Saccharomyces cerevisiae S288C: one gene and its partners. The protein of the gene in region 4 interacts with the protein of the main gene of each other region in a biochemical or structural test. Each region holds a gene or a part of one and is shown on either strand. Other genes may lie near its edges. The genes, in order: CDC13, POL12, TEN1 and STN1.

Region 1 (9,694 bases), 550 kb from region 4:
TTAAATTTTTCAGCCGCTCTTTCTGATATATTTTTATTATCAACCTTATTCTTTTCTGGGTGTTGAATGTTTTTATTGCTATCATGATAAGAAGGTTGCTGGCTTACAAAACCACTTGTCCCGACTGCTGCTTTGGGTTCAGGTTCCATAGTTTGCTGTTGGATTGCATCAGAACCAGAAACTTGGTCATTTTTCAATCCAGTTTGTTCGCTCTCATCCATCTTCACGTTCTGTGCAATTTCTTTAATTGTATCTTGAGGAGGACCAGTCGCAGTGTTGCCAGAGTACTTTCTACGATCTGCAGACTTCGAACTTGTGTCCGTGTAGACACTAGGGTCGACAGCGTTCATACCGGAACTAACATTACTCTTTGGGCCTGTACTTGTGTAAACACTAGGATCAACAGGGTTCACATCAGTACCAGTCATGCCCCGGAAACTACCAGGTATGACATCTCGATCTGAGTTGGAATCAGTGTTCGAATAACCCTTCGTAGCTGAGGAGTTATCTTTAACACTTGTATGTCCATGAGTAACTGAAGGGTTAGTTTTAGTACTGGAATGATCCTGTGCAGCAGCGGTGGATTTAGGACCAGTGCTTGAACCAGAGTGACCATGGCTAACAGGGTGGGTAGTTTTGACGTTGATATGTCCATGTGTAGTTGCAGTGGCTGATGGACCAGTATTCGCTTTAGAATGCTCATGAGTATTGGTAGGAGATGTGGTTTTCACACTGGCATGACCATGTGTGTGAGTGACAGGGGAAGTGGTAGCACTGGAATGACCATGCGTGTGAGTAACAGGAGAAGTGGCAGCTTTGGAAGTGCTGTGGTTATGAGTGGTTGCAATACTTGGATGCCCTGCATCACCTTTGGAATGTCTATGCGCAGTGGGGGACGCCTTTATATTTGAATGTTCATGGCTAGTGGGAGGTGACGTTTTCACTTTGGATTGCTCACTTGTAGCAGCGGGTGTCGTTGTTTTGACATAAGAGTATCCATGGGTAGTAATAGTAGCATTAGGGCCAGAACTTGACTTGGTGTCGGCAGAAACAGGGTTCACATCAGAAGTTACGTTGGCACGGCGGTTAGCGTCCGCCTCAGTGTCTTCGTGTGGAGTTTCCGAGTCTTTATTATGCTTCTTCCTCCAAGGTAACAGAATGTTTTTAGCCTTGGTTTCCAAATTCTTGGACGTTGATTCGGGCTGTTCTTTTGGTAAGTTATATTCGGTCGGCTTTGTAGTACTGAAAGACTTTTTGCGTTGAGCAGAATCTGAATTGGAATCATAGGAACCGGGCTTACCACCAAACGAAAAATTATTTTGTTCTTCTTCGCCTTGACCATCTTTGGAAATGGACTCGTTCATATTCATATCTTGGGTTGGGTGATATTCTTGATAGCTCTCCACTGGGAAATCTTCACGGTGTTCGGTATTATTCTTATCTCTACAGTTACATATAAAAAAAGGTGTTTTTGAGTTAGTTAGTATTATATATTAATTTTCTTGAGGGGGTGGTATTATTAAAGAATTAAATTCAATATTATTACTATTAATTACACTAAGGTGCCGGGTATTATTGACGTTTTTTTTTTCTTAGTCTCTTTAATGAAGAAGGAAAAAGAACTAAGTTATTATTAGAAGGAAAAGGAGGAGGGGAGGCGAGAAAGAATGGTGGAGAATAAATGAAAATCTCCAAGAAAAAATTTCAGCACGATACATATGGATTATACCATGTCACAAAAAAATATTTCGGTTGGAGGTAGATGCAGAGTTATGGTACTGCGAATGTAGGAAGAAAAAAAAAATTAGGAAGTATTTTATGGTGATTATTTCCTTCCTAGTCGCGTACCGTCACTGGCCCGGCAAGACCACCATCCCCAGCTGGTTCTAACTCAGCTGATGGCACCTGCTTTCTTGTTTTCAGTTTTTGAAAGAACTTGCCATTGCCAGCCGGAGTAGTGGTGGTTGTAGGTTGAGGCTGTCCAACCACAGGTGCGGCTGTGATAGGGCCCGCGCCGTCCGTCGCCCCACTATTGTAAGTGGATTTCTCCATTTGAGCACCGGTGTCAACAGAAGGGCTTTCATATTGGGCATACATGTCGTGGTCCGAGTAGGTAGAGTGGGCCTTGTGGGTAGCACTGAATATAGTGGACCAAATGGCGTTCACGAGCATCAAGAAGACCGAAGTCCAGATGAACGCAAAGTTTTTGGGTCCCAGCCTTGCAGACCTCCCGCTGTTGCGGAAGGTCTTTCTGGCCTTCACATAGCAACCTGTGTACAAGCATGCAGCCAATATAATGAAGAAAAAGGCCAACCAGGACAACACACAGTACAGGACTGGCACTGCCTTGAAAGGAAGGAAGGTAGCCAGAAAGCCGGGTACCAGCGCCAGTACGATGAAAAATAGGGAAATCAGCAGCATGGCCCATCCAACCCTGGATAGATAATAGTAGGTATCCCGGTTGTTTCTGAACGACGATGGTAAATTGACAGAGTTACCAAAATTGTCTCTGGGAGAGAAAGGCTTGGCGGGCGCCCTGCTAGAGCAATTAGCTAGCTGGCCGTCTTCGTAGCCGCACCAATTGTAATTGTACCATCTCGTGGTCGATGGAGCGCTGTTAAAGCCGTTTGTATCAGCCTGTAACCAATAAAAATTTTTCAGCGTTCCAGATTCTCTGCCTCCTGACAGAATAAGAAAAAACGTCAATAAGCCAGCACCGAGTAGGAATAAAAACACAAGCAAATTAACGAACCTTTTGAAAATCATAGCGGTAGATTATAGTGATTAGTGTTACTTGTTACTTGGATAAAAAGGAAAGTATAAGCGTTAAACGTAAATACCTCTTTCTTTTTAATTCACTTCAAAATTACTGTACTTAAAGTTTGCATCTAACGGATAACTAATCAAGAGAACAAAGCAAGATCAAGTAACTGTTGCAAAGCAACCATCCTTTTATATGTCGGCATCTGCGCCGAATGCTCCTCCCCATTCCAGACTATCCTTGTTTTAGCATCAAGAAGGAAGGAAGACCTTTCATTGACTCTTGCTTCTTACCACTCCCCTCTTTCCCTTTTCCTTCGTGTGAAAACGTTCCACTCCCTTATATTCAGAGCACCCTTAAATTTGGTTATTTGGTCTTTTTTTTTTATATTACTCCGAGACGTCACTGCAATTTGGCACCGCCGCGTTGGGCTGCGCGGATCATGTCTTACGAGGTGGGAACGGCTCCGGCGTCATCGTCATTATCCTCCTCCTTTTTCACGGTGACGCCATTTTGCGCGGCAAGAAGTCGCAGAGGATTGACGGTAGCATTAATTGCGCAATCAAGACTCCCTGAATCAGGAGCCGCTGCAACCTTCGGATGGGCCAGCTGTTGTTGCAATTCCCGAAAGGTGCATTCAATTGGGCACCAGATCTGGAGTGCCACGGTAGTGTCAGGGAACAGCGTGAGCGAGGAGGTTATATTGAATTTAAATGAATGGCCGAGAAATTGTGCCAATTGCGTATATTTTTCCTCAAGAGGCTGACGCTGTAAGTAGGCGCTTGAGCGGTTGAAAAAATAAGCAAAGTTCTTGGAGGTAATGATGTGTAGTTGCAACACTCGCTCCGGGGCCAAGCCGCGGGTTTGTAAAAGTGGGAGCTCATTCGTGATATGGAAGCAGAGATCAGATGCGTGGTACTCGATGGCGATGATACGGCCCTCGCAACTGTATAATGTGTTGCTCTTGTGTGTTTGCTGTGGGCGCGGGAGGCGAGCCGAGGAGTCCAAGAGAGAAGATATATCTGTGAACTTTACATCGAAGGAGGACACGTCTGCATTCAGGTCGGGTATGTGTTCTGCGAGAGCTGGTGTAGTGGGTGATTTTTTTGGTTCATGCTTTACTTCATCGAACCTCAGTTTCGCGAGATGAGAACCGTTTCTATGTATGGGGAAAAACCTCCGGTACTCTTCGAAATAGCGTGAAATTGCGGATTCGCCAATTCTCTTGAACGCTCGTTGGTAGAACAATCTTAAATGTTCGCACTGTGAAGGCGAGGCGATGCTGCTTATTTGGGAATGCGGGACCGGCTCACATTCGCGCACAATGGCATTCAATTTGCCGTTGTACATTTTCACTTTTATATTCATCTTACAAACTATGCCGTATTGCGAAAGGTTTTCATCGCGGCCGTTCTGTAGATCTCTTAGCCCGTTGTTGAATATTTTTCTGAGCTTAGAGTCAAACGTTTCGAATTGGTTTTTGTACATGATGGCTTTGAAGCCCTCGTTCAGCTCTAACTTGTTCTCGTAATCTATTAGATATCTGTCGTAAAGATAGTTTTGGACGATATCGTTCTTGGTAAAATCGCTAAAGACAAAAGATATAAAGGCAGGTTTATCAAACGAGCAGGAGACTAGCATGCCAAACATTGTTATGTATTTGGTCTCAAAAGTGTCGAGTCCCAACTGACAGAATTCGATGGTGGGGTCTTTCCTTGCCATTTTGCTCATCCTTGTGCGAGACGGATCGATTGACGCCGACGATTGCGCAGGCACCTGCACCTGCGCCTGCGCCTGCGTGTCGGTGCTAATGTTCTTCAAACTCCATACTGCCATACCTGGGCTGGCGGTCTTGTCATTGTCCCACAGGATCCTTTCAACTTCGACGGAAATTCGATCAGGCTTTTCCAGTAGTAAAATATCCGATATCTTGTCGCTTTGACAGTTTAAAACACCGAAGAGCTCACAGATTCGCTCTCTCGTCGGGATAACGATCTCAATGCAATTGACGCCTGGCACCAGGACCTTGTCTGGGACATTTGGTAAGAGCTGCGTAAAATATAATTTCAATGTGCAATATTTGAACTCATTTATACTGGCGAATTGAGGTGGATTCATGCCAACAATTTTGCCCTCTAACCTTTCAACTGAGCCTACACTAGCTAGGGAAAGTTGCTCATAACTGATGGCTTTGCGGATTGAGGACGCGTTCGGACTGTGGAAAGAAAGCTTTCTCTTCCTCTTGCTTCCGGAATCATCATCGTGCCAATTATTTGGTACGCTTGTTTTCCTTTCAGGTGTCTGTGACTGGATGTAGGATTTTGAGCTGAAATATTTCCCGGTAGAGGAGGTAGTTGAGGAATCTGAATCCTCAATGGGATCTGCGCTGTCATGCATTTCCTCTCCCATGTTGCTTATATCTGTGGTCGGTTCATCTACATTAAGCGTCATAAGCTGCGAGTTGAATTCGTTTTGGGATTCAATGTAAGGTATCCCTAGTCTATTTGGCACAAAGAAAGGATTAATTGCTGCGGCTTTTGATTTCTGCGATAATACCTTTTGTTGGTCTTGAACGAACTTTTTTAGTTCTATATCGTAGTGAATCAACTTTACAAATTTAAACCTGTTTTTCTCGTCTCTATTCATTTCTATTAAATTGTTGAAGATATCCACAAGTGAGTTGTTCAAATCACATTCTGAAATAAGTTCTGATGACGAATGCTTGCTGCTATTTGTCGATTTTGTAGATATGGTGCTTATCACACTTACCAAATCCAACGGTTTTATGTCCTCTAAGAATAGAGTATAGTTCCCGTGTTTTGATACATATAAAGCTTTACAACTTGAAAAACATAACCTTTCAAGGTGAATATCTCTCAGTATTACTGTTGGGGATGCGCCTGAGTCAGAATCTAAATCTGGCAGTTCAATATCAAAGTATTGGCAAAGTAAGGAAATAGTGATCCGGGCTAACCTCTCCGAGCCCCTATCTTTGAACTTCAGTTTGATTAAATATTGATCTTCTTGGGATTGATCTCCTCGCCTCTCAAAATTAGAAAAGCCTAGCAAACATTTTGTTTCAGTCAGGTGTATTGAGGTTAAAAGCGCCACGAATTGCACGGGAACTATTGCTTTGCTGGGATAGCCTTCAAAATCTTTACTCGAGCTCACAAAAATACGATTTTTATGTGGAGGACACTCAGGCTCTTCTAAGGTATCCATTTTTAGGCGATAGTTTCCACGGTCATTCGTATCCAAAGAGAAACATATATGAATATATTCTTAAATTTCCATTTTGAATTAGCATTTCGCATCTCACTAGGCCTTCGCGTCTCTTATGACGTTGAAAAATTTGGATATCAAAGGTTTAAAAAGTATAATCACGTTAATCAAGGCTGCATGTACATATTAAATAATCCACATATTATTCAGCAGCGGATTTACAATGAAGATTGTCTTACAAAAAGTCAGCCAAGCATCTGTAGTCGTCGATTCAAAAGTTATTTCAAGGTATGTTACCGGTTTTTTCAGCTTCGTTAGTGCACCAATTTTTTTTACTAACACCTCTATCTATGTGACAGTATTAAACATGGTTATATGCTCCTAGTAGGTATTTCCATTGATGATTCTATGGCGGAGATAGATAAATTATCGAAAAAGGTTCTTAGTTTGAGAATCTTCGAAGATGAATCCAGAAATCTATGGAAGAAGAATATTAAAGAGGCCAATGGTGAAATTCTATCCGTGTCTCAATTCACTTTGATGGCAAAAACCAAGAAGGGAACTAAACCCGATTTCCATTTGGCCCAAAAGGGTCATATAGCTAAAGAACTTTATGAAGAATTCTTAAAATTACTAAGAAGTGATTTGGGTGAGGAAAAAGTAAAGGATGGTGAATTCGGCGCAATGATGAGTTGCTCTTTAACTAATGAAGGGCCCGTTACAATCATTCTTGACAGTGACCAATAAGATTGACCTTATAGATATATACGAGAAGAAAATAAAAAGCAAACATTATTTGCAATCTTTCTTTCGCAAGATAAAGTACCAAAATCTTTCCATGTTATGTTCTCAGTGAAGTTGAGTAGAGCGGAGAGGAGCCCTCCCCAAAAAAATGAATACAAAATATCTGTGATGGATTTTTGAATTCACGCTTCCTTCAATAACCTTCGCCAAGAAAGTCTAGAATTGTTTTATATTCTTTACATAAAAGTAAGTAAATCAACTTTAAAAAACTTTAAGGGCGAAAATGAAAAAAAAAAAATGTAAAAGTGAAAAAAGGGACGGCGAAGCGATGCCCTGCCAGTCTTACTAATCCAGAGGGCTAAAAGCATGTTTACAGTGTATTTCCAGTCATAGGAGAGTATTGACCTGGCATGGAAAAAGAAACGCACAATGAGAAAGGGGATATATACCCTTAAATTGACGATAGTTAAGGAGATTTTGAGGTTTGTGTTACTAATAAACCAGTAAGCATACTCGTTGATGACTTTAACGTATATTTGGTTTCCAAGGGATATTGAAACCGTATCTTAAGGGATGACGATGGTTGGTTAACATTCCCTAAAAGACAACGTATAAAAAGGTTCAACAAAGCGTCCGTTACCATTATGCTTTGATGTTCTCAGTACGAAAGTTTACGGTTTTTTTTTTCAATTGAGGAACATAAACCAAATAGATATATTATATCAACGTTATGAAACGAGTTACTGGAGTTTTCTTAACACTTTTGAGATTTTCTCAATTTGCATCATCGGTTTTGGTGATGTCACTTTTGGCGTATGCCATCCACGCCTATGGAAATAGAGGTAATAAGAAAACCAACTTCACATTGGCAACAGGTGTCATTAGTGTGTTTTATCTGATTGCCTTAGGTATTTTGTGTCTGGCCCTACCCACATTGATCTACATAGGAATGTACTTCTGTGCCGAATTGATCGTTTGTATGCTATGGCTAGCAGCTTTCGTTGTTCTTGCCAAAGCTCAAGGTGAACGTAGCTGTAGCAACACTAATGCAGACGGATTATACTATAATCCGTACAGTGGCCAATATACTGCTGACAGTCATAGAAGAGCATGTAATTCTTCTCAGGCGGCAATCGCCTTTTCTGGCCTTTGCTTTGTACTGTTTTTGATCAGTGTGATATTACTGGGAATTAATGTCTTAACACCTATCAGGAAGCGTTATCAAACCCAAGGAATGTGGAGAAGCGGCGCTTCTATGGGTACAAAGCTCCATAGGTGGAGCGGACTAGCTTTAAGCGAGCCTTTTGAAGAAACAGCTGCTTACGATAACACCAATGTTAGGACCGGTGATGTCGAAGCAGGTGCAGGTGATAATGCTGCTTACACATCTGAACCGAATGGCGACGCACGCTATGCAACTAATGACCCCAATGGGCAGTACCATACTACCACCACCAACACACGTTACACCACAACAACAGCGGACCCTAAGACGCGTTACACCACCAACGATCGTAATCCTGGTTCTGCGAATGTCGCTAACAGTGCAGTGGACCAGCACGCTTACTCTACGGATGAGTCAGGTGATCGGTCTTATCAAGAAAAGGTCACAGAAGGAGCTCACTCTGGCGCTATGAGTGGTAGCACTGCAGAACCAAACAGGAACGTCAATCAAATGCCATAAATTCAATGATTTCCTTTTTGTTCGTCTATACCCTTCACATACTTTTTCTTTTTCTTTTTCTTTTCTTTGCTTAACGATTTGAATTGCTCCTGTTCTAATAATGGCGTCGTCTTTTAGAAAATCCTTATCAGGTGTGAATAATGCTTAATTTTTTTTATATATAATGATTTACTTTTATTACTTCTTATTTTTATATTTTCCTCTGTCAAATATGTGACTGAAATCTTCCAATTTATTAATATTAAAGTGTGACTATCACTTGAGTTTAGCGACAGTCTCTAACGCCTCGAATTCATCGACATGGGAAAATTGGAAAGGGTATCGTTTTTACACTTCCCATTTTCTTCCAGCAAAAATGATCGGCCCAGAGTCTAGTTAAAGCATGATTAATTCTCCCAGGGAATTTTTTTGCTTTACTAGTAACAGTAGTTCTGGAAATTATTAAGCGTTCTTAAATTCTGGGACGGTCGTGCAGAATATTAAGATAGGTGATATTTACAAATATAAAACATTCATCGTTCGTCGAAATTGGCTATTCATTCTTTAAAATCGTTTTGAGGTGGTCTACCATCCTCACTTTTCATATACAAATCAATTGCAGCTGAAAAGGCAGCAAACCCGGCACCACCCATTAAGGCAGCTTGTGGTCCAGCTTTGTATGCCAGCCCAGCACCGGTAAAAAACCCTGCGGTTACTCCGTTGTAAATATCATTTTTAGCTCTAAGTGACTCTATGACACACTCCACCCCAGCATATATCATACCAATGTAGCCAAAATTCTTAGCACTAGAGTAGGATTTTTTACCCATATCGGTAAATTGAAGTTTCATTTGCTGCCGGAAAGGTAAATCAGATATTTGCTGAACTGTTCTTGATATTCCACCCACACCTATATTTCCCGCAGTTGCAGTTGCTGCTGTATTTGCAGGTGTAGGTGTATGAAGAGGTGTATCATATGCCATTGACGCCATGAACAGGCCTAAAACACCACCCAGTGCAAACCCTGTTACACCACTCACAACTGATTTTCCAGGACAGGAAGTCATGAAGTTCATGATCATTTCAGCACCCCGTTCACCCTGTTCTTCCGGAGTTAGTTCATTATAAGGTTTCTTTTGAGCTGGACTTATCTGCTCCAAACCAAATCCTGTGTACACCATCTTCGTATAAAGTATTTAAAATCACAATTTCTTGATCTTATTTGGCAGCTATCTCTACTATCCCGTTTAGTACTATCCCGTTTAGTAGTGACAGAAAAATAGTATTTTGTCCTGAAAAGCTTC
Region 2 (8,731 bases), on a different chromosome or scaffold from region 4:
TTTGACCGAGAAATATGCCACGGATATCAATTGGTTTGTAATTATTTCGTTGCAGTTGCTATCATTAACTTCAAATACAACTATTAACGATGATGAGATCTGGCAACGACTATGTCAAATTGTAGTGAACAATCCATCTTTACATAGAATAACATGTGAACGGTTGGTGGACTATTTATGTAAAAAGCAAGCATCTGAAGCTATTATTAAAGCTGCGGCTTTTCTACTAGGGGAGTACTCAAGTCTCATAACAGACAGGATTTCAAGCGCAAATTTATTTACTTTGTTTGCCGAGAAATATTTTAGTGCACCAAATGTGGCTAAGGCGATGATATTGACTACGATGATCAAGTTGTACAAGACCTCACCTGAGATCGGCTCCAACGTCATCAAATTTTTCCAATTGGAATTGAACTCTCTTGATATTGAGTTGCAAACAAGATCCTTCGAATATCTCAACATTATTCAACTGGCTAAGGTGAACGGAAATACAGATATTTTGCAAATTTTATTTGAACCAATGCCGCCTTTTAACAGCAAATCTAATCCATTATTGAAGAGATTAGGGTCACTGCCGGCATCAGCGGGTAGCACAACTTTAATAAATACACCATCCGAAGCATCCTCCTCCACGCCTGACTTACTATCAAAAAGAGCAAACTCTTCCAGGTCGATCATGGTTCCCATGCCCCCACCATCTCGTAGGAACACCATTGATGATGTAAATTCCAAAATTAGTTCATCTGAAGACTTTTCAGGAAAGGACTCTTATTATTCAAGGCAGATCCTCGCTCCAAATTGGAGGGAAGGTTTCACAAGAATGATTTCGCATAAGCAGGGTGTGCTTTTCACATCATCTTTGATGAAAGTTTTCTATCGGATAACCACTCCTGATGCACAACAGCCATACGTGTTTCATATATCTCTTGCCTTCATTAACCTGACTGAGTGGGAAATCACGGGATTATCCACACAGATTATCCCTTCAAAAACGCAAGGTAATCCTGAGTATTTAATTATGAATATTAATACACCTTCTACTGCTACTATTGGGCCCCATAAAAGGGCAGAGCAAAGCTATGAAGTTTCAATAAGAAAACCTTTCGACGTTGAAGATAGTCCAATTTTGGCAATTCATTTCAAATGTGGCGGTAGTACAAACACTATCAATTTGAAAACTGCCATAGGCATGACTACAACACTAATTAGCAGCGATGTCAATCCTAGCATGCATTTGAATTTGGCACAGTTCATCAGCCGTTGGAAGACTTTGAGCGATGCTTTGGGAAAAGAGGGAGAATACCAAAAATCTGGCATAAAGCTCAACAAGGATTTTAGAAAAGTTGAAACAATCAGTTTAGAAGACGGACTTCTACTATTGACGCAAACAGTGAAGAGGTTGGGCTTTGATATAGTCGATCAGACCAGTGTTCGTAGTACATTGTTTGTCTCGGGTATTATTCATACGAAAAGTGAGGGAAACTTCGGTTGTTTAATGAAGATACAATACCAGGTAAATGGAACAGTTAATGTTACCTGTAAAACAACGACGGCCGGTCCCCTGGCGAAGTACATTGTCGAATGTATAAAGAATGTGCTTACGAAGTAAAATTTTCTCAAATTCACTATAATGAAAATCATCCGCATTGTACATATATAAACACACACACACATATATATATATATTTGAGATTCTATTTATTTTCATTTTGTGTTGTAATGCTATAAAAAAAAAGATCTTCGTATAAAATCTCAGTTCATTCAACCTACTAAATGATTCTAGCTTCATTTTTTGGAGGTCTAGCACCAAAAATGTCGGTACCAATTCTGACTTCCGCTGTTCCTTGCCTTATAGCCTCCCTGAAATCAGCACTCATCCCCATAGACAATTTCAATGATGTACCAAATTTAGCATCAATCTTCTTCTTCCACTCAACCAGCGTAGCAAAGTCTCTGTTTTCTTTGCTATCTTCATGAGAGACGTTCCATGAACCAATAGTCATTAACCCATTCAACTTAATATACTTGCATTCTTCGGATAAGAAGAAGTCGATGACTTCAAATATTTCTGCTTCATTATTCAAGCCCGATTTTTGATCCTCATGGGAGGTATTAATTTGAACATTACACAATATTGGGTTGCAATCTGGTTGAAATTTAGCCCTCGATTCGTTTAATTTTTTGGCTTTCTTCAAGGAGTCGATTGTTTCAACAGAGTATAAATTTGGCACTTTAGCCAAATCTTTACATTTATTCGTTTGCAAACCGCCAATAAAGTGCCACTTGATATCGTCTGGTAGTAATTTTGCCTTTTCGATCAACTCTTGAACATAGTTTTCCCCGAACTCCCTCACACCATGGTCGTAAAGAATTTGTATATCGCTAGCTGGTTTCAATTTCGAAACAACCAATAATAAAATTTTGGAGGCATTTTCATTAACATGAACATTTTTTGCCTCTGCATTCACAACTTCCCTTACAGATTCGTATTGGGCAATTAATTGTGTCTTTCTATCTTCATCATAAGTAATACCAGTGGACATATTGCAATGTGATGCTGGAATCTTAGTCAAAAAGGAAAGAGTGATGCCTATCAGTTTTTTTTTTTATTATGCATTTAAGAGTAGTCTCTACTTATGAACATTTTCTCTGGCCTCTGATCACGTTACTTTATTACCCGGATACTGATCATGTTATGGTCTTTAATCAATAAGTAAGTTATAGAGCCAGTTTCAAGGTCGATAGTTCAGGTGTATAACAATACTTTTTGGTGCTACCTTGAGCTATTCCATTAGTTAAGTTTGAATTAAATATATCAACTAGCAATCAAGTCAACTCTAGCGCGCTTCCACACGTTGTGTAGATAAACTGGCTCTTCACCTTCAACAAGCGTCAATTTCCCGTCTTCAAGATCAGGGCATTGGACAGTAATTTGTGCATAGGATCCCCTGTTACCTGTTGCTCTAATAAATCTTCCGGGATTTATAACAACTACGTTTTGGACAACTCTTGCAAAGTGTTGTAATTCACTGGGTATAATCATTATGTCAGGCGAGAACCCACCAACAAACTCTGTTAGTCCCAGATAACTCACGTCTAAATCTGCACCAGATATATGTTCATAAACTTTTTCTTCTTTGCTTTCCATATCATTGGTTTCCTTCTTCGTAGATACGTCTTTTGGTTTTATTCTTGTACGAATACTACCTGGAAATATGGGGTAATACCTGCGCTGTTGTAAAATATGCTCAGAAACACGATCTAATCTATATCTTGATGAGGTAGTACCGCCTTTTATGACTTCCTTTAGATCTTTGAATGTATCAACGTTTGAGCAACCGAAGTATATCTCATTTATTTGAAAAGATGAAGGATTAGCCATGCATTTGAAGTTCCTTTTAGGCAGCTGTAAAGCCTTTCTAATTAAAGAAGCTTGTGGATATGCGGCGTGATTAGAAATTGCATCTTTTGTGGAGGGTATCAATACGGTTTGGATATGTGGTGATATGGTTTTTAGAATAGGAGTAAATAACTTCAAAAAAAGCTCGTCCAATGTTTTGGGCTGTGTCTTGAACTGGGGAAAATTTGGCAATTTACCACTCGCTATCAGAGGATGGGTGATATCTATAAATGGGCCAAACATTATCAAGACGTGAGGTTTTACCTCATTATTTATACTATCGATAAATTCTTGCAACAATTCGAGGGAGAAGTTATCATTTGCAAAGTATGGGCCACAGGTCACGATAACCTTCAAAGAAGAACCTTCCAAATTTGCTTGAAACTCCTGCAGTTCCTGCGATGTGGACACTGGGGAGTTTGGATAAGGTAGCGGCAAAATAGAGTTAACGGTGAAGTAATCCCCATTAGCATTTTTACCTTTGAATGCCACAATTTGGCCTAAGAAAAACGAAAGCTCGTTGACCTGCGATAGATCTAACCTTACCCTTCTTCCAACGCCGCCCATTCTTGAGGTCTCTAGGGAAAGCGATTCTGGATTCAAAAACTTGTCGTAGGTCGGCGAATCTGGAACTATCCTTCCAACAGCATAAATTTCGGACTGAGATTGAATAGTTGGATCAGCGAAGTCGTTTGGAGATAACTTATAGTGATTTTGAATAATCTTAGTAAACGATTCAATTTGATCATCGAGGACATCAGACGCTTCCTGTAAGTTTTGCCTCATTGTTCTGAATTTATACTTTTTAGCATCATAAAATGGTTCTACTTTGACCTGGTTATATGATGGTTCTTCAGTCGAAAGAAGGCCTACATTTGGATTACCAGATGATATTTCAATATTTTCAGGGTTCAAAGAATCCAAAATTTCACCAGCAGGAACATTTTGCCTCGATGTGGTAGGAGTGTTTGTTGTTGGAGTTTGGAATGTCGACGAGCCGGGAGTCTTGGCATCCGAGCTTTTAGCGTGGGACAATGGAGCACTGTCACCCACAGCATCTTCTGCCATGCCTGGAGTAAACTCCAATTTTAAAGAACTATTTCCTTTTTCATTTGTTTCTGCCTCAGAGCCTACATTATATGTTTGCTTGGAATCACTGAGTGAAAAGGGACCATGTAACTTTCTTTTTTTTAAAGTCGGAGTCTTTGGAATACTAAGGCCAAACAAGGGACTTGAATTCAAACTTTTTTTAATCACTGGTTTTTTTGTGGATGTGTTTACCTTAGAGGACGATGAAATTTGGTTAGCACGCTTTTCCATTTGTAATTGTAAAAATTGTTTAAACTCATCTATGTTCTTGGAAGTCAGATCTGTGTGAGTTTGACGCCTTTGATTGGAGAACTGCTCCCATTTAATGTATAGATCCTCGACGGACAATGCATGCAGTTTAGTTAAATTCTCTAATGCAGTGATGATTTCCGGCTTGTCTGCATCAGGCCCAAAATGAGTGATGACATCGATAGATCCGCTCATTTTTTTTTTTTTCAGTCACTTGCTCCTGCCTAAATTTACCTTCAAGCTTTGTTGAACCAATTGACAATCAATTATCTTGATATTTTTATATGCAAATATATTATGTATATGAAACAAAATGTTATATGTGTCTACAAAGAGCTCATATTATTACAGTTTTAGAAAAGAGAAAGAACTAAGAAACTCTGGTGAGACGCGTCACGGTAAAAAAAAATTACGCGTCTACCACGCTATTCTCTATTCGTTTGAGGCGATGAACATGATCATTTTAAAGACATTCTTAGGCAAACAATCGAATAATCGTTCGGTTTCTTGCTCAGTATAATCTGGAGTAGTTTGGAGGACTCTCAAACAACGAGCTAATACCACGGCACTGGTGAAGTTCCACGAAGTATTATCAGTCCCCATAATGAAATAGCTCATTGTTTGGATAATCTCTGATATATTAGATTTCTTGAATTGTTGGCAAATGGTAGGAGATTGCAGCATCTTCCATAAGGTCTCAATTAAAAATGTTTCTTTCACACCAGCGGTGTCAGGCTGAATTTCAGTAACCAACATGCTTAGAATTCTTGTTGCCGAATGTTTTTTGAAAAAGTGCGATAACATTAGACTGTCCCTGAACTCTTGCGCTAATTTATAGATTTCGTTTCCATAATCAGAAAATTTATTAAGCATTAAAAGGATCTGTTCCCATACTTCTTCGAAACACATTCTCACCGAAACGCCATCATCGTCGGCATTCTCGCTTAGTGTATTTAGAAACTTTTTCCAAACCAAAAGACAATGAACGAGAATTATGGACTTACTGGATATTTTTGATGGAATTGAAGGCGTGTCATCAGTAGATTTCAAAAGCATAATAGCAACATCCAGTAGTTCATCAAAACCATTTTCATTCGTCAACCAATCGGTCATTTTTTGATTTTGAAAACAAGTAATCAAGGGTTCGATCAGGTAATTTATATGTTTCATAGTGAACGATCCACTTTTTATCCTGTTTATTGCCTTTGACATGTGATTGAAATAGACATCAAAATCCATCAAAGTGTTGCCATTAGAATCAACCATTAAAAGATGACTAATTTCATATACAGTCAAGGAATCCCTTGGGAAATTATCCATGATAAGCAAATGCATCTTCTCTGATTTTTTGTTATTAACTAGTTTCATCTTTTTGGAGTTTATGTCTTGTTCAGTTAGTGCTACGTCTCTTTCTCTCTTTACTGTGATCCTTTGCTTTTGACCCATATTCTCGTCCCCGTTTATTTTGATTGGTGACATTGTTTCCAAATCAGGCTTTTCATTCTCATTCCCATTTCCAATAAGTTTTTCTGGCTCATTTATTATCTTTGGAGGATCTGTACTGAATTTTACTGTTGGTTCATTATCGTCCTTCAATTTCCTTTCGGTATTTTCACCACTGTTTTGAAAAATTTCACTTAAATTCAAATCAGATTTTTGAGAATTTTCCATATCTATATCATCTTCCTCCTTTGCTGGGTTTGGCTGGTCCAGTTGATAAACACTTACTATTTTCGTCATTTCTGAAAGCTTTTTATCTTTGTCATTATCATCATGAATAACTACGCTGTCTGTGCTTGATGTTCTTTTTCCAACGTTATTCTTCAACTCTAGTGTTTTATCAGTTTCCAAGTTTTTGAAGGGATTAATCATTGTCATTTCCATGCATTTCTTAACATCATTTTCGTCTACAGCATCGTCGGATTCCTCATCCCCTTCAGATTTTTTATTGTCGATGGGAGTGAAGCTTACAGAACTTTCTCTAGAAATGATGTCTTCTACCTTAAAGTTGGCATCCTTCTTTTCAAGTTCATGACAGATTTTCATCTTGGTAGATACAATGTCAAAATCAGCTAGCAATTTATTAAAACGATTATTATCGAATTTATAAATTTCAAAAATTAGATTGAAATAACATGTGTAGTCAAACTCTTTACCGTAGATTTGAAAGAGTATCATTGATATTTTAGGCATGAGATCGTTCGTTCCTGACCTCAGAGTGTTATCATGTTTTATGTTCAAGTTACGGAAAATCTCTAAAAGTAACTTGAAATTATAATTGAAAAAAGTGGTTTTGTATTTCATATAGTATAGTTTGAAATCATTCGGACAATTATTGGCATTCAAGAAATTGAATAAATCCGCGATAGTTATAATCAAGTTAGTAAGCTCGTAGGGCTTTTCAGGATTCATTCTATTCTTTAAGATTTCCGCGTAATCAAAACTATTAATAGAATATAGCTCAATGAGGTAATTTAAGGGAACTCCATTTGTAAACTTCTCTATACTCAAAAATGGCTTGAAATCATTTGGTGACTTTATCATAATTTGGCGTAGCTTTTTCATAATCATGGGAAATTCAAATTTTGGGGCTGATGATGACTGTTGCGATGTCAACAGTAACTCCTTTTGTAAATACTGTAAAGCATCTTTGATCTGAGCTGGAAACGAAGCATCATTGAATTTTTTGTAAAGGGTTTCATATTCACCAAGTTTATTACTGCCTTTTAATGAGATTGGAGAAGATGACATCGAAACATCATTTTTATCCATATATTTCTTTATCAACGGGTTAGAGTAACTATTTGATAACTCATCAGTCAAGTCGATTTGGTTTGACGGAAAGTCATCAAAATTTGTGTAATTTTCAGATACTTTTGTGGCGGCAGTAGAAGAAGGAGGGGCACTAACTTTTCTTTTAGTAACATTATTATTATCTTTGGTGTTGCTGTTTGAAACAGAGTTCATACTGTCATGATGCCTTGCCCTTTTTTCATTTTCTTTACTTGAATATTCACTAGTAGACCTTAAGTTTGTTTTCAGCTTATTTGATAGTTTACTGGCTATGACACTTCCACCAGCTGTGACTGCAGGAGCGTTGAGTAGGGAGGTGGAGGAAGATTGAGTCGGTTGGGCATAACTTGGATAGTTCCTTTTCTGCTCCAGTAAACTGGTTTTTCTTGAAGAATTATTCGAAGAGTGAGAGTACAATCGAGACGTTGCAGAGGAGGCGGAGGCAGTAGAGGACACCCTGGAAACTTGATAGTTTATATTCAAATGAGCAGGGATTGCCAATTCTGTTGCTTTTTTCAACTGTGGAGAAAAGGAAGAACTCAATAATCTTTTGGCATTTGTAGGATAACATTTGTAGAAATACCAAAAAGTTAACCTCATTGCCTCTCTAACGGTTGTCTGTGAATCTGAAATGCCCTTTTTTAGCCATTCTTCGATGTATATGATGTTATTCTCCAACTTTGAGGTTGGCGAAGTTGTATTTGAATTGTTGAGCGAAAGATTGGAGTCGTTGAACTTAATCAGGAAGCTACGCAGCAGTATTGCAGAGCAAAATCTCGGTGTTACGGTTTTCTCATTTATTAATAAAAAAGATAATTGGAATAGTTTATTATGGAAATGATTTATATCAATGATCAAAGTAATTAAACAATGAAATGCAGTTTGTGAAGAGATTTTCTTGGTAGATGATAACAAGTTCTTGAAAATGACAAATATTTGGTCCAATATTGATAGGGGCAACTGATCGTTTAGGATATGGATTAGCCTCTTGAGGAAAAGTAATGCAGTTAATGATAACGTTGTCCTCAACGACGAGGTAGCTCTTGAAATCAACTCAATCAACTGCACCTCCTTTATTACAGTGACAAATTCCTCTGGATTATCTTTGGGAATGTTGCCGGATATAATGTTGTCTAATTCAATTATATTTGATTGCCTTAGCTTCCAATTTTGTTCTGTTTCCTTTACACTTTGGAACGG
Region 3 (7,203 bases), on a different chromosome or scaffold from region 4:
GATCATGTTTGTGCGTAACGATGCTAAAGAGTTTAGGTTCTGCCGTTCTAAGTGTCACAAGGCATTCAAGCAACGTCGTAACCCAAGAAAACTAAAATGGACCAAAGCTTTCAGAAAGGCTGCCGGAAAAGAATTGGCTGTGGATTCTACCTTGACTTTTGCCCAAAGAAGAAATGTCCCTGTTAGATACAATAGAGAGTTAGTTGCCACAACTTTGAAGGCTATGGCTAGAATCGAAGAAATTAGACAAAAACGTGAAAGAGCCTTCTACAAGAATAGAATGAGAGGTAACAAAGAAAAGGACTTCTTAAGAGATAAGAAATTGGTCGAATCTAACCCAGAATTATTGAGAATCAGAGAAGTTGAAATTGCCAGAAAGTTGGCTAAAGAACAAGAAAGAGCTGAATCAGTATCCGAACAAGAGGAATCTGAAGAAGAAGAGGAGGATATGGAAATCGACAGTGACGAGGAAGAGGAAGAACAATTGGAAAAGCAAAAGATTCTGCTAAAGAACAGAAGAAGAAATACAAAGAAAATTGCTTTTTAGTTAGAACAGAACCGGGCTAATTGCCTCTTTCCTTTCTTTTCTCATACTTATTTCATGGGATAAATAAGAATCACCTGTATACTATTATTTACATTACATAACATTACAATAACTATTTTCAAGGGTCCTCTTACATTCTTATCAAAGGTATTATATAATCTCAGTATATGCCAAACGTCTGACTTAGGAGTTAGAGATGTTCAGAAACTTCTCACCAAGTGGTGATTTGACAAATTCACAGAAATCACGAACGTCATTCCTGGATAGTATCTTAAAATCAATGATTTCAAAAATTGGCGGACTTTGGTGTATTCCATACCATACCCCAATGCGAACATCCAGTACCTGCCCATTTATCAATCTCAAATCATCTTTATGGGCTGAAAATAATCTTTCGCTCATATACAAACGCATCTCCTCTGCGCCATTTGTTGAATTGAGGCAATGAAGATTTCTAACTATCATTTGACAGAAAAAACCTTTAATGAATTCTTCATCCGATTTACAGAACAAGAAATCTACTAATCGAACAACAATCCTGAATCTTTTGGACGGATGAATAATGTTTGGTTCCATTCCGTTTCCACCGTAAACATTGTTATGAATATCGTAATTCGTTGCTATTTTATCCTTCAAACATTTTAAGTCTAGAACTAACTGGCTCATATAACACTGTCGTAGTTCTCTAAAAAGAGCAAATAGAGCTGTATGTAACCAATACAATATAGTGAATTATGTCCTAGAATAAGGGCATTCATTATTCTCCATCTCTGCTTCAGAGAAAAAAAAAAGAAAAAGAAAAAATAACGACAACTGCAGGACTCGAACCTGCGCGGGCAAAGCCCAAAAGATTTCTAATCTTTCGCCTTAACCACTCGGCCAAGTTGCCATATGACTATTGATTTATATCATATTACGAGCCCAAATAATACTGGGGTGTTTTGACAATCCTAATATAAACAGTCTTCGAGAAGTAACCAGTTGTCAAAACGGATTATCAGCTTGATTCAAGGAATGTTAACTGTCCTATATCATATAAAATATGAATCATACTAAATGGTGGAAGCACGGATCTTGGATCTAAACTAATTGTTCAGGCATTTATATGTTTGGGTAGTTTGGCTAAGGGAGGCCGGGTTTTATCTCATGTTGTTCGTTTTGTTATAGGATTGTTTCATATGTATTTTATGAACGTTTAGGATAATGTATTGTCAGGCTGACGTATCTCATTTTGAGATACAATAATTTAACCTATTTTATGTTAAATATTACACAAGATGATAAATATGTCAACTAAAAACTTTAACGCCGAGCTTGGCCATTACAATATAGAGCACATGCTATGATCAAATGAATTAGATGAATACAAGCCAAGAAAGCATTTTTTTAATTACACTTCATGCTTTTGTTGGAATGAAACTGTAAAATACCATCTGTTTAGTAGTATTTGTGTTACCAGTATACCGTCACATGCGGTGTAACGTGAGGACATAAAAAAGTCATCAAAATTAATGTCCCCACGTTACACTGTATATGACAGTATATACTACTGACATGAATACTAGTCGATAGTTAATACATGATTCTTATTACAACATGATGATTACAGTCTCGTCTTGGTCTGTTGTTTGACCCTACTATTTTATGCTATTTTTTGTATCTGATTTGAATTCAAGGCAATTGTTGTAATTCCATTCTTGGCATAACCCTGTGTAGATTCTACAGATAAGCTGCTTTTTTCTTTGAGTGGTGCCCCCGTTGTTTATTACCCGTCAGTATCATAACATTTGAGCATCTCACATGGTTACGAATGTAAATATGAATCAAAGAAGGTGCAAAATCAAAAAAAATCGAAAGATTTGACATGCCTATTGAAAAGGGAAAGTTGTATATCTATCAATTGTTAATTAGTTACTTGGTCATCTCCATTACCAGCTGAGGTGCTTAGTCGACAACCGCATTAAACATGAAAGTGGGTATTATAATGGGTTCTGTGAGGGCAAAGAGGGTATGCCCAGAAATTGCAGCATACGTAAAACGTACAATTGAAAATAGCGAAGAATTAATAGACCAGAAGCTGAAAATACAAGTAGTAGATTTACAACAGATTGCTCTTCCCTTATATGAAGATGATGACGAACTGATCCCTGCGCAAATAAAGAGCGTGGATGAGTATGCAGACAGCAAAACTCGATCGTGGAGTCGCATCGTAAATGCATTAGATATTATTGTATTCGTTACACCTCAATATAATTGGGGGTATCCAGCAGCCTTAAAAAATGCAATTGATCGTCTTTACCATGAATGGCACGGAAAACCTGCCCTGGTGGTAAGCTACGGCGGTCATGGCGGTAGTAAGTGTAATGACCAACTTCAAGAGGTACTACATGGTTTGAAGATGAATGTTATAGGTGGAGTGGCGGTGAAAATACCGGTAGGTACGATACCGTTACCCGAGGACATTGTACCACAACTCAGCGTGCACAATGAAGAGATCCTGCAATTACTCGCATCGTGCATCGAAACAACGAGGAATAAATAAACCATAAAATTTAACTGTAGTCGCAATAAAAGATGAAAAGCTAACACAATTATCATAGGACACTGTAATCCAGACTTTAATTAGTATTAAGTATTGAGTACAAAGTACAAAGTATTATACTAACGGTAGTTTGGGCTCTTCGATTACCCATACACTTTTAATGGACTAATTTCATCAAGTTTCATTCGAAAATTTTCTTAAAATATATATATGCGTAGTGGTATAGTATTCATATTTCATGAACTTATTTCATAAAAAAAGATAAAGCAAACCTAATATTTGGATCGGCGCTCGAAATTATTCTCAGTATTCTTCAGCATTAGACATCTTTAACATATCAATCTTTAAAAGGTTTCTTCTTCTTCTGTAGCTCGGAATATAAGCATTCATATATGACCATGTTGTAACGCGATCGAACCAAGCAACTTCTTCTTGTGCAAATTTCCTAGCAATACCAGGCACACCTCCTTGACGATCAAATGCAATTCTTTCAGTCTCTTGTTCAAAATCTTTTTGACATAAAGCCAGGTATTTTTCCTGTTGTTCAGGTTGCAGTTGAAGATACTGCTGGTAGGTGATTTCTTTGTAATAGACAGTCTTCATTTGAATATGTTCGAGACTTTTTCTCTTAATCTCTATGAATATTTTCTGTCTTGAAGCTGCCGTCTTCATAGAATGTTGTTCTATTATCCACCTCGAACATGGCCTTTTTATACGTTTTTACATTAAACATCCCCTTCATATTAGTTTGTTCTCGACTTAATTCTACTCATGCTTCTGACATTTTTTCATGCCAAGACCGGCCCTGAAAAAGGGTCCGGATATACGGATAGCGCCACACATTCAATTAGGGGAAGTATTATTTGATACATTGTCAGCACACAGCGATTTAACCCATTATTTGGCATGACAAGCAAGCTATTCGACAGTGAAAAATGCACAGAACATTCAAAATTATACTTATAATATGACTCTTTTCTTTTATTGCAGTTGGTATTATATACATATATATATATATATATATATGTATATGTTCCCCGAGACAATGGTTTTATTTCCAAAAAAAGTGTAAGTAAGTTATTTTCTGTGTATAAAAAAATAAAAGAAGCCAGATGAAGTGCCAGGTGGCGTACCAGGACTTCAGCTTTCTTTAGTTTGCATAATGAAAGTATCACTTACAGCTCCCTTGAAGGATTAGACGCTATTAACCCCGATGAAAACGCATCAACAAAACCTTTAACACAGTACTTATTTGGTGCAATACATACTCACACAAACACCTGTAGAAAATCCCCTTATATGAAAATCCCTTTTTTTTCTTGGCAAGTATTTCTGATAAAATGCGGACAACATTACCTGCTTAGCCGCCTGCCACAGAAAATAAGTAGGCTTCTCTGTAAAATGGAATAATAGGCTAGAGGTCAAAAACCTCCTCTTCAGTCATATCTATGTTTTTAAGGGTCTAGGGTCCAATTTGATGGAAAAGAACAAATGGTCGAGCATGTTAATTAATATTTGTTGCTCTGTTTGAAGAGTATATTATAAGACGAGAGGTTCTTTGAGGGAGCTTATCTTACCTTTTCTTGATTTGAAACAATTTCATTAAATGTAAACAATTATCAACTAGAAGCAAATATAAAGCCAGAAGGAAGAATTTGCTATGAACATTAAGACTTTGTGTCATCCAGAATATAAAAGAATCTCCGTTGAATCGTTATTGAATCCGGTAGAGGAGACAATAGACTGCGAAAAACCTCACTCTCAAACAAAAATCAATACTGCTAAACCCATTAGTGCATCTTTGTATGTCACAACGAATAATACTGCTGTTGTTCAGCACAATGTCCAAAAGAGGAAAGGCGTCACCAGGAGATGTCCACAGTGTGCGGTGATAAAAACTTCTCCGCAATGGAGAGAGGGTCCTGATGGAGAGGTGACATTGTGTAATGCCTGTGGATTATTTTATAGAAAAATATTTTTGGTTTTTGGCAAGGATCTGGCAAAACGGTACTTTAACGAAATAAAAGGTGTGAGCGTCAAACGAAAAGTTCCAAAGAGCCTCTATGGAGTTACAAGAACGCGTTAAGAGAATTTATTTCTGCTCGGAATGTTATATACTTATGTCAAAGCAGTGATTATACATTTATCGACTTTAAACAGTTGATAACGAACATTATGTGTTATTCGAAAGTCAAAGTGCCATACAAAACAAGTGGTTTCTCAGTTCTTGCAATTTTTCTTTATCAGCGTAGTCCCAGAAAAAAAAATCATCACTGGAAATGTAAGATGAATTCAAGTATCAAGTGCCGTTGGTATTATAGTTTATCAATTAATACGTAAATATATATATATATATATATATATATATATATGACTATAGTGGCATACTTCTCAATGGACTGTTGCTTCTATCATTTTATACATGCGTTCAACTTTGAAGATTATCACAAAAACCTCAAACTTTTCAATTAATCTGCCCCGGTCATTTAAGTTAGCTCTTTTAGGACTCTCATGTTTTCAAAAAATAGATTGAAAAGAGCATTGGTGGCCCTACTTTCAATCCATTGATCATGATTCTTCGAGCTATCGCTAAAATATTCCACCGGATTCAGAGTTCTTTCCTTTACTGATATCGTAAGAAGACTCGCCTTCGTTTCCGTTACCAGACCTGACAAAAAACTCATCCCATACAGATCCCGAAGTAACCTGGAAAAGGATATCCATGATATCTTGATTATTGGTATACGACTGGCAATTCAATGCAGAAGACGTATTTGTAGAAGCACTTTCATTTATCACTTGATTACCTTCGCTTACATCTAAAGTATTAAACTGGGAAACATTGCTGTGTTTTTCCAGTTCGGTAAAAAATTCATCTAGAGGTATATCAAAAGGTGCTTTTTCTTCAAAATTGGTTCTATTAAAAACCTTGTTATCAAAAGTACCGTCGTCAAAACCAAGTACGTTCGTTTTTTTATCATAACTTGACATGCGGTTTGCCTGAGAGGTTAGGGGATTTGAATCCGAAAATATCCCTTTGGCATCATTTATTTGCATAAATTTTAACTTTATTACAACTGATGATAAAATTTTGTAACTCGTGTAACAGGTTTTCGCAGATTCGCAAAAACCTATCAGATTCTTCAGTACTATCAACACTTTTTCAGTGTACTCTGACACTTTTTCTTGACAATCATTTATGTTGTTTTTTGAGTAAAAATTTACGTAAAGGTAAGTCATACCTGTCATGAACATGTTATGAACTGCTACCCACGTGTAACCAATTTTTTTATTGACACAAAGATTGTAAAATACGTCTATGGTGCCCTTCGTACTGTCCAGGACAATTTTAAAAGCGGTATCATTCAAAGTAGGGAATTTTGGAGAAAGTCCATAAAGAATGCTCTTCGAGTAATGATAGTTCAGATCAAACCAGATGCTGTTAAATTTGCAATTCATCATCTCAAAGTTTTTGGGAACGTCCACTTGGAACCAACGCTCAAGCTCATTGTAGGTTTCAATCCGCCAGCTCTCGAGATCCATAAACCTCCTCGGCAATTCTGCACCGGGCGCGTAGAGTATTCTCACTATACTAGCTTGGATTCTTCTGATTTTATACATGGCCAATGCGATAACTTTTGAAGACGGATTTGGGCTTGGTAAGTCTGAGTAGTCGTCAATTTCTCGGTTAGTTAATGTGATGAAGGAATCGTCCAAAAGGCTAGGATACCTGGTGGTGATGCTTTCTTCAGGTATACCAAAAGGTCGACCAAAATACGAGCAAATTTGCCGATCTAAGGAGTAAACGCACCAAAATAGACGCCTGCGTATTTCTCTGGTAAAGGCGTCATAATTTTTATTAATTTTTTCCGAATGTAGTCCTAGGTCAACCGTTAGTCTTAGTACAGAACCCATAGTATACCAAACACCGGGGACATTAGGTCTCATTATTGAATAGATTACCATGAGCAAAGTGCCTGCCAATGCCTCCAACCTGTCTGAAGATGAAAATAAAGATGCAATATATTTAGTAGCGCGTCTCTTATATGTCGCGACAGTAGTAATATCTGACTTAAGTACCTGCGTAGCATGGCCAATAGCAAATATAATGTTT
Region 4 (7,112 bases):
ACACATTTATAGTGGCGAGATAGACTGTAGGTCTGTGACAGCAGCTAGAAAATTTCCAGTAAGGTCCTGTTCAATGACAGCCGCCCAGCAAAGAAAGAGAACTGCGCTATTCACAGTTAGGGAAAGAAACTCTTACCATGAGGGGTTCAATAATGATCAAGATTATGTGAGCCAATACCAGAAGCCACAGTACACTTTCGGAGTATATAAAGAATTAACACCTTATCAACTGCAGCGCTCTAAAATGAAAAGAAGCTTTCAATTTCCCAATGGCGAAATATACAAGCCAAAACTTGATGGAAAATGCACCCACAGCTTGAAAAAGCCTGAATTAAATTCAAGAGACTCTTCTTTATTCAAATTCAGCGAGAAGAAAGGTCGCAATTTATCAAAAGATTTTGTGGGGCCTCATAATGGGACATCAGTCATACATATTCCTCCCAATGATACAGGCTACGGTGTAAATAGCTTGGAGCTGAACACTTCAGTTCCTTCAACAATAAAAAGTTCGGTTTCATCAACCTCTCCGATATCTGCTGTTAATACCCTGACCAGCTTGCCAGAAAGTCAAACTGATGATGATGACGGTTATGAAAATAAAACTGTAACTATATCTTATTGCTTCGAAAATACGGTAAATGAAAAACATGGTAGCCATATAGAAAAATTGGATTTATCAACTAAGGAAAAAACTAAGCCAACAACTAATTCAGGCCTATTTGATAGAAAGAAAAAGACTATTCTGGGCACTGAGAAATATAGATGTATAAAGTCACAATCGAAGTTGAAACTGGGTTCTGTTTTGAAGAAATTATGGCGTACTTCAGGAAACTCGAATACAAAGCATGGAAAAAAGGATACAAAAAGAAGGAGAATTCCTATCGATGATATGGTTACGCATTCTGATGGAAATTCTGAAGCTGAGAATGATATTGAATTAATGGATGCAAATCTGGACGGCATTGAATTTGACGACGACGAAACTCTAATGGATACAGATTCAATTTTTGATGATCTGTTGTCCAAGGAAAATGATAAATACGATTTGAGGCGAAGGCAATTAGAAATACGACAAAAGCTCCACGAGACCTCGCACAACGACGATGGCAAGGTTTCTTTTCGAGATACCGAAAAGCATAATGTCAATGAAGGTTTGATCGACAAGACCATAATCGAAGAATTTTCAAAGCTCGGTGAATATATAATCGACACGAGAAATCAACCACCACCAAGATCGTCCAAGAGGCCTTCATTAGATGACAATGAATCTGCACGATACTTCTACAACATATCGACAGATTTGCGACAGTCTCTGTCAGGTCCAATAAGCTTACCAATGCATGTTGGGAACGACATGGTAAATAGGTTGAGAAATGACTGGGAGTATATCAGATTCGAAGATAGAAGGAATTCGCTGCCAGATTCCTCATTTGATAAAGTCGAAACACCTCCAAAACCAATAAAAAAAGATGTCCGGTTTGCAAAAGAAGTATGTTTAGCAAGCACTTGGTCATCGAATGCATATGAGAGAGCTAATCCGGAATTCATTATGAATCGCCACAGATTGTTGTGGATGATGAAAGTACATCCAAGCATGAATAGTGCCATGAATGAGATCAAACTTGAACTTAACTCTTACAAAAAAAATGAGATGGTTGTCCATGAGAACAGCAAGTGCTTTACACATTATTTAATTTGAGTTATTAACGTAACATAATCCAGTTTATTTTTTGCAATAGAAGGCGTCATACATATTTATATATCAATGTATACATTCCATTCCAGTTACTTCTTTTGCATCTTGCTTCCTGTTTACCTTGACCTCGAACCTATTATTTGTCCGCAATGCGCCTTTGGGTGAAAAGGGATTTCGTTTCCATTTTAACTGTACATAATGTAAATGTAGAAAAGCGTGGTTCTTAAAGGATTTACGGTTCAATACGCTTTTATAAACCTGCTGGTGCTCTAATTACGAATGAAACATGGACCAGGCAAGAAATTTCTACAACACAATTTTAAAATCGTCGCACCCGTTGCTACTATCATTTCATCTGGCAGGTAAGGCAGTTCCCATTGTATTTTATATCATAGGATCAATGTTTTTGAATTTCACACCTCAATTCATCACTGTCGTTCTTTTACTTTCTTTTGACTTTTACTTAACAAAAAACATTACAGGTCGGAAACTGGTCCAATTACGCTGGTGGTATGATTCTACAGATGTGAACAAAGATTCTAATTTTACTTTCGAATCATATAAGCAATATGCGCCGGGCCCACCAATAAATGCCATCGATTCTAAGTTATTCTGGTGGTCGATGTATGTGACACCCGTAATCTGGGGTGTCTTCGCTGTGTTGTGTCTTTTAAGACTGAAAATATTCTACCTGATTTTGGTCATTGTTGCAATGTGTCTGACCGCCTGGAACACGTATGGATTTCGTTGTTGCGATAGATGGGAGCCCAATAGTGGACAATCTGACGGTCAAGATACTAATAATTGGTTCGCTCTTCCTTCTGTTCCGGGCTTTGAAAATCTTTCAAGGCTGGCTAATATCCAATCGTTTTTCCAGAGACAATAAAACCTTGTCCCTCATGTGAACATTGTGGAGTACTTCTTCTAGATGATTTTTACTTTACGCAATGTACTACAGGAAAAGAATACAATTATATGTATAAATATAGTATACAAAAGAAAAAACAATATTAAAATATGAAAATGACGGATGAAGTCGTTATCTTCTTTTATAAATACAGGGCTTCAAGAGCCATTTTCCTTCGGCAATTTTCCGTCTTTTCTTTTCTAATTCTTCCTTCTCAGTTTCAACTTCAATAAACTTTTGTCTTCTTTCCAATTTCTGCCTTCTCTCTTCAATAATCTCCGCAGGTGGCTTGAAAAATTCGAATCTTGTAAACATCTTATTCTCGTCGAAGGTCTTTTTGTGAAAAAATCCCATCAGCTTCAAAGCGTCTACAAATTCATTACCTTTGCCGTCACTAAACCTTGATTTAATTTCTGCGATCCATAATTCACCCCTTGGCGCTAAAATCCTATAAGCTTCTTTTATGAAATCGAGGAAATTTGTACCCATTAGAGCCAGGCAGAAGACCACTATAGTACAGGACTCATCTGGTAGCGGCACATTTCTAATATCTGCCACAGTTATTCTTTCGTTAGCTTTCTTCAAATCAAAACTGTGGACTTTATGGCGTCTTTTCAAATATTTCTTCGCTTTCTTATTGTAATTTTTGAAAAAATTGTTGATTTCTAATGCTAATTGAGCTTCACCACACCCCATATCAGCAATAACTATTTCTTTACTATCCTTAAGACCTGGTAACCCACCTGGAGCATTCACAGGTTTCATGCATCTATAACGAATTTGGTCAACAAAAACATCAACTGGATTTTCCGGCCATGCTTGCACTTGTGATCTAAAACCATCATGATATTCGTCAAATAATTGTGGTTGTTCTTTTATTAATTTCAAAGCTTCATCAGAGCTAATTGTATACAGTTGTTCATTGATCCATCTAAATCTAGAACCAGTCAGTTTAGCCATCATCTTTTGTTGTAAAGGGGTTAGTTGCTTCTTTGTAGGTTTTTCAATATTTTCTTTTACTTGCATCAGAGGGGCTTCTTCATCGTGCTTGCGTTTCTTGCTCGTTTCATTTTGATCACTTTTCTCTTGGTTTTTTTTTGGGATGTCTTTGGCTACTGATCCTTCGGAAGGAATGTCTTCCACTTGTTCCTTCAACTCAGCCTCTGTCTCTTCTTTCAACTTCTGTTCTCTTGTAAGTTTGCCATTTTTTCTATTATTTTTTTTTTTATCTTTTGAAGACTTATTAGTCTTGTTATCAAAAGCGACGGTTTTTGTCTTAATAGACCAACCTTCTACGTTAAATAAGGCCATATAAAATTTCGTTAACGTCCTTATTTGTTTGATATAATATATATACAATATATGCATAAAGTTATAGTATCTTATTTTGAGCTCATCGCAAAATTTTTCAGGCCTAGAGAGATGCGCCGTTATTGACGATGCGAGTTTTCTAACAAATTATGAATATGCTGCTGCGTATTCCAAATGTAATAATATTCCACTGTTTTGGTCCTCCATACCATTCTTCGGATCAAGATCAATCCACCAATTTTTTAGTACCTCAGGATACTGTTTCTTTGTCCTTTTAAGACATTCTTTGAAAACATCAACGATGCCGTTCGTTGTTATGTACGGCAAATGTAGCTTTTCCTGAACATGACTTAATTGCACAGTGCCTGTATAACATTGTAGCTTCATTAGAACTGATATACGTTTTTCAGCATATTCAAAAAGATTTTTTAGAGGAAGCAAATCAAATGTCTCACTTGTTTTATCTTTTAATCCGATCAAACCCTGGCTGACTAGACGATTAACCAGGTCTCGAAACGCTTCCTTTTCCAAAGAGTCAAAAGATTTCATGACGCCAACATTTTGTTGTTGAAACAAAAACGATGCTAAGCTAGTTACTACGCTGCGTACTTCCTTTAGTTTGTAAAGGTCAGAATTAGAAATCTCTTTCATTTGTAGTCCTAATAGGATCAACATCAAGTTTGACTTTGCTGATGTCCTATTGGGAATCATCACAGGTAGATTAGCGCTTTGATATTCTAGTTTTTTTAACTGTTCGTCATTGCCGTTGTCAATTTGATCACCTGAATTCAAAAAGTGAGTTTCAGGAAAATCCTTTAGCGACGATACAAACCGAAATGACAAGGAATGCACACTATTCGAAGTATCTGTGCTATTGTATGGACTAATAATTTCTAATTCATCCTTCAAGCGTTCTTCTTGCAGTTGCTCGATGAAAGTAGTTTCATTTCTTTTACTTTCTGGGGTTTTGTACCCTATACCTACAAAATCCGGGTTTACTACCTCAATCTGTGATGTCTCAGGTGTCCACTCTTGCTCTTGCGTGAACAATTCTCCAATTACAAAATCGCTTAAGGACCAAGGCGTGTCAAGTTGCTCACGCATGTTCATTGTGATTTTCCAATGATCTATTTCTTCCGTTAAACTGTAGCATAATCTTAAATATTCAACTTGAAGCTCTTGATAGTTCAAACTTGCTTGCCCGTAGACATGAAGAGTTAAGCCTATCAAATCGGTTATGTTCAACCCCCATGATAGGATGCTATCCTTCTTAACTTTACATGTTAAGAATCTCATGTCACTAGTATAACCCACCAATGAAGAGTCTGAAGTACAATCGTCCAACTGAAAAAAAATGTATTCTTGTTTCCCAATCCATTTGAACTGGAGTCCAATGATGCAGCCAATAAGGTGTATTTGCTGTAAAGGATGATTTTTCCAGAACAACATCGACAACCGCCTATCATAATACTTTTCGCAAATTTGCAAAGAAACTCTCATCCGGTACTTTAAATCTCCAACAAATATTCGAACGTCCTCTGTCCCACTATAATAACTGTTGTATTTGAACAGCCTTGGAATATAATAACAAACATCGCCTTCTTGATGAGCTATATGTCCGTACTTATCCATGGCTCCAACCCATTATTAAAAGCCAGCTTATTGCTCTTTTTTCGCACAGAAATGGAATATCAACAAGCAGGATTTCATATATTCCAATGCTTACTTCTTTTTCCATGCCTTTACATACTTCTTTTTGGTGTGATTCGTGGTTTTGTTGTTAGAATAGCTGCTGCATATTTCCGTTCTGAGTGACTTTGCCCATCGAAGTCAATTACTTGAAAGTAAGAAATTATCAAAACCAATAGCTGCTTAAAAATCAGTTGCAAGATTTGAATGAAATCAGCAAAGTTTGATCAATCGTGACTAGTTCGCGTTTTGAATTTTGTGGTAACACCAAGCAGTAAAGAGACAGCTTTATTATAACCAGCATGCTTTCCATTCAGCAAAGATATAATATTTGTCTAATGGCGGAGAGGCACCCAAAGTGGACGCAACTTGAATTGGCAAAATGGGCTTATGAGACGTTCCAGCTGCCAAAAATTCCATCCCAAGGCACAATATCGCGTTTGTTGGCAAGGAAATCAACTTATATGAATTGTAAAGAGCATGAAAAAGATGCGAATAGATTAAGGAAGCCAAATAATCTTTTGGTTCGGAAAATTTTACAAGAATGGATTTCTCAAAGTTTGTGGAATGGAATCCCTATAACGTCACCTATTATTCAAGACACTGCACAAGCTGTTTGGCACAGAATTCCTGCGGAGCATCGCGAGGGAAATGGTTCTTTTAGTTATAAATGGATTTCGAATTTTTTATCAAAAATGGATGTCAATATTTCTGTTTTAGACGAAGAGTTACCCAAAACCCCAAAAGTCTGGACATTTGAAGAGAGGGATGTATTGAAGGCTTATTTCTCCAAAATTCCTCCAAAGGATTTATTCACTTTAGATGAAGCGTTTCTCTCCTACAACCTACCGTTGGATTATGCTCAATATGAAGCAAGTAGCATTCAAAGGCGTATAGAGGTGGCAACTGTCATGCTGTGCTCCAATTTAGATGGCTCTGAAAAGTTAAAACCTGTTGTCGTGGGCAAATATGATAGTTACAAATCATTCAGGAATTATTTCCCCAATGAACCGAATGATCCTGTGTCACAATCAATGTTGGGTACTAAGATGGCTAAGAAATTTGATATCTCATACCATAGTAACAGGAAAGCATGGCTAACGAGCAATCTTTTCCACAACTGGTTAGTCAGGTGGGATAAGAGGTTGGTTGCTGTGAATAGGAAGATTTGGATTGTTTTGGATGATTCTTGCTGTCATCGAATAATTAATTTGCGCCTTCAAAATATAAAACTTGTATACACTTCCTCAAATTCAAAGTTTTTGCCATTTAACTGGGGTGTCTGGGATGAATTCAAAACACGATACAGAATACAACAGTATCAGGCGCTCATTGACTTGCAAAATAGAATTTCGAAGAATATCCAAAATAAAAATAAATCAGAACGGAACGAATGCATACCCAATGGTAAAAAATGTTTGATTAGCTTTGAGCAGAGTCAACTCACAATGTCAAATGCATTCAAATTTATTAAAAAAGCTTGGGATGATATACCCGTTGATGCTATCA

The links.
Region 1: the proteins of STN1 (region 4) and CDC13 form a complex in vitro, tested with the Saccharomyces cerevisiae proteins (2 studies listed by BioGRID).
Region 2: the proteins of STN1 (region 4) and POL12 form a complex in vitro, tested with the Saccharomyces cerevisiae proteins (one study listed by BioGRID).
Region 3: the proteins of STN1 (region 4) and TEN1 form a complex in vitro, tested with the Saccharomyces cerevisiae proteins (one study listed by BioGRID).

What each region holds. Positions count from the first base shown.
Region 1 is NC_001136.10:59,036-68,729, forward strand, and holds CDC13 (telomere-binding protein CDC13), read right to left. Parts: upstream 5,984-9,694; coding exon 3,209-5,983; downstream 1-3,208. Other genes in the region: HBT1 (Hbt1p), read right to left, coding at 1-1,370; FMP45 (Fmp45p), read right to left, coding at 1,837-2,766; DTD1 (D-tyrosyl-tRNA(Tyr) deacylase), read left to right, coding at 6,207-6,271, 6,343-6,730; YDL218W (uncharacterized protein), read left to right, coding at 7,458-8,411; translocation channel protein TIM22, read right to left, coding at 8,948-9,571. UniProt on the Saccharomyces cerevisiae protein: Single-stranded telomeric DNA-binding protein that regulates telomere replication. Has a role in both positive and negative regulation. Promotes [TG(1-3)] strand lengthening via interaction with EST1.
Region 2 is NC_001134.8:148,678-157,408, forward strand, and holds POL12 (DNA-directed DNA polymerase alpha subunit POL12), read right to left. Parts: upstream 4,934-8,731; coding exon 2,816-4,933; downstream 1-2,815. Other genes in the region: APL3 (Apl3p), read left to right, coding at 1-1,609; YBL036C (pyridoxal phosphate homeostasis protein), read right to left, coding at 1,770-2,543; STU1 (Stu1p), read right to left, coding at 5,171-8,731. UniProt on the Saccharomyces cerevisiae protein: Non-catalytic component of DNA polymerase alpha, which in a complex with DNA primase (DNA polymerase alpha:primase) constitutes a replicative polymerase.
Region 3 is NC_001144.5:166,590-173,792, forward strand, and holds TEN1 (Ten1p), read right to left. Parts: upstream 1,214-7,203; coding exon 731-1,213; downstream 1-730. Other genes in the region: RLP24 (ATPase-activating ribosome biosynthesis protein), read left to right, coding at 1-547; LOT6 (flavin-dependent quinone reductase), read left to right, coding at 2,514-3,089; YLR012C (uncharacterized protein), read right to left, coding at 3,393-3,692; GAT3 (Gat3p), read left to right, coding at 4,750-5,175; PPR1 (Ppr1p), read right to left, coding at 5,679-7,203. UniProt on the Saccharomyces cerevisiae protein: Has a role in telomere length regulation and telomere end protection. Acts as an inhibitor of telomerase loading through its interaction with CDC13.
Region 4 is NC_001136.10:608,875-615,986, reverse strand, and holds STN1 (Stn1p), read right to left. Parts: upstream 5,547-7,112; coding exon 4,062-5,546; downstream 1-4,061. Other genes in the region: AFR1 (Afr1p), read left to right, coding at 1-1,699; TVP23 (Tvp23p), read left to right, coding at 1,983-2,582; RRP8 (25S rRNA (adenine645-N1)-methyltransferase), read right to left, coding at 2,736-3,914; PDC2 (Pdc2p), read left to right, coding at 5,906-7,112. UniProt on the Saccharomyces cerevisiae protein: Has a role in telomere length regulation and telomere end protection. Acts as an inhibitor of telomerase loading through its interaction with CDC13.